Oryctolagus cuniculus: one gene and its partner. The main gene of each other region encodes a partner of the protein of the gene in region 2 in a complex. Links are inferred from orthologs where the notes say so. Each region holds a gene or a part of one and is shown on either strand. Other genes may lie near its edges.

Region 1 (3,648 bases), on a different chromosome or scaffold from region 2:
GGGCCCTTCACCTGCATGGGAGACAGGGAAGAAGCACCTGGCTCCTGGCTTCGGATCGGTGCAGCACGCTGGCCATAGTGACCATTTGGGGGTGAACCAACAGAAGGAAGACCTTTCTCTCTGTCTCTCTCTCTAACTCTGCCTGTCAAAAAAAAAATTGTGCAACTGAAATGAATGAATTGTATGGGCCAATTAGGTCTTGATAAAACTGGAGTCCCCCAAAAAAGGACTACTCTAGCTGCAGAGAGAGAAGTCTTTCAAGGAGTTTTGCTGAAACAGAGAATAGAAAACTAAGAACAAGCAGTCTGTAAAGAAAGTGGTGTCAAGTGATTATTTTCAGATAGAAATAACAATGTTTTTTATATGATGATGAGAAACATCCTACAGGGAAAATAATGAGACAGGGAAAGGAGGAGGTATTATTGGAATGAATGAATGAATTAATTAATTAATATTGGGGAATCTCAGAATTAAGAGTTCAAACAATTTTTAGTCTCCTTTAAAATAGACTAATAGATACTAAAATGCTAACAAGTACTAGACACAAACTTTGCACTCAGAATTACTTGTAGTAACTTTTGTCCACTTGTCCTACACAAGCTACTGAGTGAAGCTGCAAGCAGGAACTCCAGAATCTGTCCTTTCTTCTATCAGACTTGACTTCTGTTTACCTCCGGCGCAGCCTGCTTTTTGTAGGTATCTGAATCCTCCAAGGTCTGAAAATAGCTGTGCATATATTCTGCAGCTTCCTGCCACTGGTGCTTCAGCAGAGCTTCTTGGATAAAACGTAAACAAGCACTTGTTGTCTGAGCAAAATCCTTCTTCTTTTTCCCTCCGATCACTACAAAGAAGCAAGAGGAGCTTTTACTCACAAGGACTTCAACTATCCAAAAAACTTGCTTCTGATAAGCAGAAGTGCAAACAAGTATTAACAGTAGGAATTACCTGACCCAGCCCATTCCCAGTACTAAAACTAGCTTCACCTGAAACAAATCTTTCCGTACCATATCAACTAGTTTTATCAAATTTAAAAAAATCTAATTAGACATTCTTGGGCCACCAGTCACCAATCCTTCGATCAGATTCAATCTTTTTTTTTTTTTTTGAAAGGCAGAGTTAGACAGTGACAAAGAGAGACACAGAGAAAGGTCTTCCTTTCCGTTGGTTCACTCCCCAAATGGCTGCTATGGCTGGTGGGCTGTGCTGATCCAAAGTCAGGAGCCAGGTGCTTCTTCCCGGTCTCCCATGCGGGTGCAGGGCCCAAGCACTTGGGCCATCCTCCACTGCCTTCCCGGGCCACAGCAGAGAGCTGGACTGGAAGAGGAACAACCGGGACTAGTATCCGGCGCCCTAACCGGGACTAGAACCCAGGGTGCTGGCACCGCAGGCAGAAGATTAGCCTAGTGAGCTGCGGCGCCAGCCCTGATTCAATCATCTTTTTGTCCTTGCACTGAGTAACTGTGGAAAGTCTAACAAAGAGGCCCTCAAAAACACAGCACGGGTACTCAGAGCAAGCAGGTCATTTTAAGAAAGACTACCAATGTCCCAAAAATCCCAAAGGGTATTTTGTTTTTTAAGAACCAAGTTCCCAGGACCAGCTTTTGGTCCCAGTTGCACCACTTCCAATTCCAGCTGCCTGCTAATGTGCATGGGGAAAGCAGCAGCAGATGGCCCAAGTGCTTGGGTCCCTGTACCCACATGGGAGACCCAGATGAATTTCCTAGCTCCTGCCTTCACCCTGGTCCAGCCCTGGTCATTGCAGCCATTTGCGGAGTGAACCAACAGATGGAAGATATTTTTCTTTCTTTTTCCCTCTCTCTGCCTCGCCCTCTCTCCTAATTCTTTCAAACAAATAATCTTAAAAAAAAGGGCCACATTTTCAGTTGTAACAGTTGAAGACAGATTTTTCTATCTCTAAAGCATTAGTAATCCCATCTTAAGAATAGTTAGGCTTGGGGCCAGCACTGTGGCACAGCGGGTTAACACCCTGGCCTAAAGCGCCAGCATCCCATATGGGCGCCGGTTCCAGTCCCAGCTGCTCCACTTCCAATCCAGCTCTCTGCTATGGCCTGGGAAAGCAGTAGAGGATGGCTCAAGTCCTTGGGCCCCCACACCCATGCACCTATGTGGGAGACCTGGAAGAAGCTCCTGGATCCTGGCTTCGGATCAGCCAATTGGGAGTGAACTATCGGATGGAAGACCTCTCTCTCTCTCTCTCTCTCTGCCTCTCCTCTCTCTGTGTAACTCTTTCAAATAAATAAATAAATCTTTAAAAAAAAAAAAAAAAAGAATAGTTAGGCTGGGCTGGCACTGTGGTGTAGTGAGCTAAGCCTCCACCTGCAGGGCCAACATCCCATATGGGCACCAGTTCATGTCCCAGCTGCTCCTTTTCCAATCTAGCTCTCTGCTATGGCCTGGGAAAGCAGTGAAAGATGGCGCTGGCCCCTGTATACAGTTCTAACCTAGATTTGCCTATCTTCAAACTTTTTATTCTAAGGAGCACATCCTTTAAAATGCCAAAAGAATCTCCCAGGATAAAAAATAAGTGTTTGGCAATTTTATTTTCCTATTATGGCTAATTTCTACTACAAGATCACTATTACGTGCAAAATATTTTCTTGGGGCTGGTGCTGTGGTGCAGCGAGTTAAAGCCCTGGCCTGAAGCACCGGCATCCTATATGGGCACCAGTTTGAGACCCAACTGCTCCTCTTCCAATCCAACTCTCTGCTATGGCCTGGGAAAGTAGTAGAGGATGGCCATGTCCTTGGGCTCCTGCACCCATGTGGGAGACCCGGGAGAAGCTCCAGCCGTTGCGGTGAATTGGGGAGTGAACCAGTGGATGGAAGACCTCTCTATCTGTCTCTAACTCTCTCTGTAACTCTGTCTTTCAAATAAATAAAATAAATCTTTAAAAAGACATTTTCTCATAGAAGACGGAAAGTACTTTGGCCGGCACCGTGGCTCACTAGGCTAATCCTCCGCCTTGCGGCGCTGGCACACCGGGTTCTAGTCCCGGTCGGGGCCCCGGATTCTGTCCCGGTTGCCCCTCTTCCAGGCCAGCTCTCTGCTGTGGCCCGGGAGTGCAGTGGAGGATGGCCCAAGTGCTTGGGCCCTGCACCCCATGGGAGACCAGGAGAAGCACCTGGCTCCTGCCTTTGGATCAGCGCGGTGCGCCGGCCGCAGCGCGCCAGCCGTGGCAGCCATTGGAGGGTGAACCAGCGGCAAAGGAAGACCTTTCTCTCTGTCTCTCTCACTGTCCACTCTGCCTGTCAAAAAATAAAAAAGAAAGTACTTTGGATTTAATAGCCTATCCATACATAGCACATGAAACATCTTATGCATGTATACTCTATTTGTCTGCAGATTCGGGATCTACAATAATAGTGACAAAAACATGCCCAGAGATGTCTTAACTAGCACAAGTTCAAATTACTCGTTTCCTACAAGCAATGTGGGAGCATTCCTGCTGAAGTACCAACCATTCAAACCTAACAGATGTGTTAACACAGCAAAAAAAAAATTAACAGAGGAACAGAACTATTCTTTTTCAACAATAACGTGCATGAGGCACTATTCTAGGCACTTAATACATATTAGCTCATTTTTAAATATATCTCAGCATATATTAAAAGCCTTGGCTTTCAAAT
Region 2 (4,091 bases):
AGGCCTATTACTTACCACAGGACATGTAGTATATGAAAAACTGAACTTAAAATGACATACGTATGCTGACAGCAAACACACTGCTACATTCTGTACCAAAGACACTGGAAATTTCACAAACATCTCATGACACAGTGATTTCCAAGGAATTTATTTAATTAGACTTTCAGAGGGCTCTAAAAATCTGCATTTTTCACAAAGACCCCAGATGATTCTAGGTTCTGCTTGCAAGCATAGTTTAAGAAAGTAATTTTAACCTTCATTTGTGTCACATTACATAAACAATAAAATTAAATTATAAGTCATGTAATCTAACTTCTTTACATTAAAAGATACCTAAATACAATATGGTTCAAAATGAAATCATACGTAGTTCAAAAAGATGCTAAACCAAAAGCCATACAACAATGAGAAACATTAACAGCAAATGCAAGTACAAATGAAGATATTCCTCTGAATGCACATTTCAACGCGCATCAAAGACCACCACTGTATTCATCTGAGTTAAGGAAAAAAAAAATGTAGTTGAAAATTACAGAAAAAGACTGAAGACTTCCAAATCACTTTACATGTGCAACAAGCTAGTTTGTTAATTTAAAATGCACAAAGACCTGGAATTCACTATTTATTACAACAACTAGATATAAAGTAAATAAAAGCTTTCAATTTTTATTAGCACTTTTCCCAACCAATGAAAAAAAACCCAATGTATCAAAAAGCACTGAATGCTAAAGGTAATAACTTGTGATTTTAAAAAAGTTATGTTAGAAAATTACAACTCACTCTCAGTGTTTAGTCTCATGTGTTGGCTCCACTTTTTCCTACTAAGTAGCATACACAATATTTGTATTACTCCTTGTATAATTTATTTGTCAAGCTGAACAATCAGTTCTTATGTAAATACAGAATCTCTGGAAAATAAACTTATGAGAATCAAAATCAACTAGTATTTCAATTATTTAGTGCTTCAGTTCTTGTCTATGAAAAATGCTAATAATATCTCTTTAATTAATCCAAAGTTCTTACGGTTTCTACCAGAAGTAGTGTCTATCAACCCCTGCATCACTCTACAGTTGGCTCCTACCTCAGATTTTAAAAGTAGAGTTAAAGGATACATCTTTTTGTCCTTTTCTTGTACATTATTCTGTATCCACATTCTCTGCATCTGATTGGATCCCTGGATTTTATTTCATTTTCAGTGTGACATTCTAGGGAGAAAAAAAAAAAAAAGGCTTACTCAAATTTAAAAGGAAAACAGTGCAGACAGGCAAATTATCTTAACCATATCAGGCAAGGGTATGATATTACAAAATATACTAAATGGGAAAGAAGAGAGTTGTGGGCAATGCTGTTTTTCCAGAGCAAATAAGAGTTTTAAGTGGTGCTACGAGGCGCTCCTTTATAACTTTAAACACCAATGACTCATTCATTCAAAGGATAAATGTAATAATTTCAAAAACAAATTAAGCAAAATACTCTTACTTTATGTAGCGTTATCCTTACCTCCACAAATATATATCATTGGCTGCTGCTTTGGGGGCTGAACGTCTTTCTGGGCGTCCATTGTCAGTCCCTGCAAACACAGAATCAAATCCTCAGTATTTCAAAGGGGTTCCTCACAAACCCGAACAGCCCTCCCTCCCCTTGTTTTTTCAGGAAAAACTGAAAGAGATCCCAGTTCCCCCTCATCTGCGCTCTTCTCCGTGCCTGGGAGTTAGGTCTAAGGGGCAAACCACACAGACACACACAAGTACTGAGAGTCGACCCCAAACTGGGCACGACAGAAAATGATCCGCATTTTGTTCCTTCATTATAATCTTCACAACAACCCTCAAGTGTCACTCCTGTTTTATACACGAAGAAAGCGAGGCTGAGAGATACTAGTTTGCGCAGGCAAAAGGATTCAGATTCGGCTCAAAACTCGAGTTCTCATCTAACACATGAATATCCCTCCAAAACGGAACAGACTAACCGCCGGGAAGAATACTAAAATAATTCCCAATGGCTAAACAGCTCAACTAAAAGAAACCAGGCAAAGCACTGACGGCACCAACTCCTCCACCAGCATCTCCTGACTCTAACCTCGCACTGGACCTTCTTAGCCCCCAAGTGTCTTTCTGGTTTGGCTCAAATACCCACACCTAAACCCCAGCCCCATAACTCCTTACCTGCGTAGAACGGAGAAACTCCGCATCTGCTCCCAACACGCAGTGTCGCTGTCAACTTCCGGCGCTGGCTTGTGACGCAAGACGAGCACCGCCCCTTCCGCCCCGGCCCGGCCCGGAAACCGAGTTTGCGCAAGACTCTAAAACTAGTTTCTTGCTCGCAACGGACTCTGTGGACATCAAGCACATTTTTTAACACTTAGCTATTCTCATTTTTCAGGAAAGAAAATCATTTTAACAGTTCTTCAAAGGAAGTTTGTATTTCTGACTCGTGAGATTGGCGGAAATGAACGCTTTTCCGGAAGGACCGAGACTAAGAGGGACGGAGGTGACAAGTGCCGGTGGAATCCTGAACGCGCCGTTCCTCTGATGACTTAGACTCGGTTAACCAGTGATTTTTTTTTTTTTTTTTTTTGTTACCCCGTAGAAAAGCACATTCTAGGCTGTTTTCAGGTTGTTGGGTACCTGTGCTGGGGCTGTGTGCCAGCCGCCTCCCGTCCTTGTCATGCTTGATCGTGTTTTTGCTCTCCAGCCCTTTGCTTCTCCCTCGCCTCCACGCCTGTTACTCGTTTTACAGTGCAGGCGCACCTGCGGGGCAGCGCCCTCGACACCTCGCACTTAAAGCTAAAGGATTTTGGTAGCTTTAGCGGTTCACTGGCCCTCCCTTGGTCCCATGTATTCCTAGGAGAAAAAAAAAAAAAAAAAAAAAAGACGTGCTTGTGGGAGTTGCATTCTTTCAAAGAATATTCAGTGGCATAAATGCCGATTAGATTCGAACATTTACATTCATTTACTTCTTTCACAAAAGATATTTTACTTAGAATAGAAGCAGAGCTAAGAAAATGAAATTATTACAACTTTATAGAAATAATTAAAGATTTATTTATTTGAAAGTCAGAGTTACACAGAGAGAGGAGAGGCAGAACCAGAGAGAGAGGGGACTTCCATCTGATGGTTCACTCTCCAATTCGCAGCAACGGCCGGAGCTGCCCGATCTTAAGCCAGGAGCCAGGAGCTTCTTCCTGGTCTCCCATGTGGGTGCAGGGGCCCAAGGACTTGGGCCATCCTCCACTGCTTTCCCGGGCCATAGCAGAGAGCTGGATCAGAAGAGGAGCAGCCAGGACTAGAACCGGCGCCCACATGGGCTGCTGGCGCTTCAGGCCGGGGGTTAACCTGCTGCGCCACGGCTCTGGCCCCAGAAATAATTGTTAACAGTTATTATAAAGTTAATTGTAGAAGCAGGCTTGCTTCCCCCACATGCACTGTGTCTTTGGTATCTTATTAAGTAGGACTCCATCCATCAACTTGAGAACTTTAGCTTCACCTTTCATTTCCAGAAGTTAAAACTGTGTGGTTGCATCTCCACAAACCAACTTGAGACATTCAACTGGGATTTCCCTGTCTTTCCAGGGGGCAGGAGTTTGGCCTAGCCCAGCTCCACTTCTCAATTCCAGCTTCCTGCTGATGGCCGTCCTGGGAGGCAGCAGTTTCTGGCTCAAGTACTTGATTCCCTCCCACCCACATGGGAGAACTGGATTAAGTGACTGGCTCCTGATTTCAACCAGGGCTGTTGTGTGCATTTGGGGAGCGAGCCAGCTGATTCACTCTCTGCCTCTGTGCCTCTGTAATAAAATAATAGTATTAGGGCCAGCATTGCAGTGTGGCAGGTAGGGCCACTGCCTGTGACATCAGCATCCCATATGGGCAGTGGTTCAAGTCTCAACTACTTCTCTTCCAATCCCACTCCCTGCTAGTATGCCTGGGAAGGCAGCAGAGGATGGCCAACTGTTTGGGCCCCTGCACACACGTGTCAGATCCAGAGGAGGCTCCTGACTCCTGGCTTTGGTCTGGCCAAGTCCTGGCCAGTGAGGCCATTTGGGGAGTGAACCAGTGGATGGAAGACACCTCTCTCTCTCTCTCTCTCTC

The links. Proteins that work in one complex are often made in the same cells at the same time.
Region 1: POLR2K (region 2) and TAF1A share a complex: the UniProt entries of both Homo sapiens proteins name them as parts of the pol I pre-initiation complex. The link is inferred for Oryctolagus cuniculus from reciprocal best matches to the Homo sapiens genes POLR2K and TAF1A.

What each region holds. Positions count from the first base shown.
Region 1 is NC_091444.1:36,964,259-36,967,906, forward strand, and holds part of TAF1A (TATA box-binding protein-associated factor RNA polymerase I subunit A), read right to left. Parts: intron 842-3,648; coding exon 672-841; exon of another isoform or gene 567-671; intron 1-566. UniProt on the Homo sapiens protein: Component of the transcription factor SL1/TIF-IB complex, which is involved in the assembly of the PIC (pre-initiation complex) during RNA polymerase I-dependent transcription.
Region 2 is NC_091437.1:125,592,509-125,596,599, reverse strand, and holds POLR2K (DNA-directed RNA polymerases I, II, and III subunit RPABC4), read right to left. Parts: upstream 2,872-4,091; 5' UTR 2,169-2,871; intron 1,574-2,168; 5' UTR 1,565-1,573; coding exon 1,504-1,564; intron 1,209-1,503; coding exon 1,116-1,208; exon of another isoform or gene 1,085-1,115; intron 490-1,084; coding exon 467-489; 3' UTR 136-466; downstream 1-135. UniProt on the Homo sapiens protein: DNA-dependent RNA polymerase catalyzes the transcription of DNA into RNA using the four ribonucleoside triphosphates as substrates.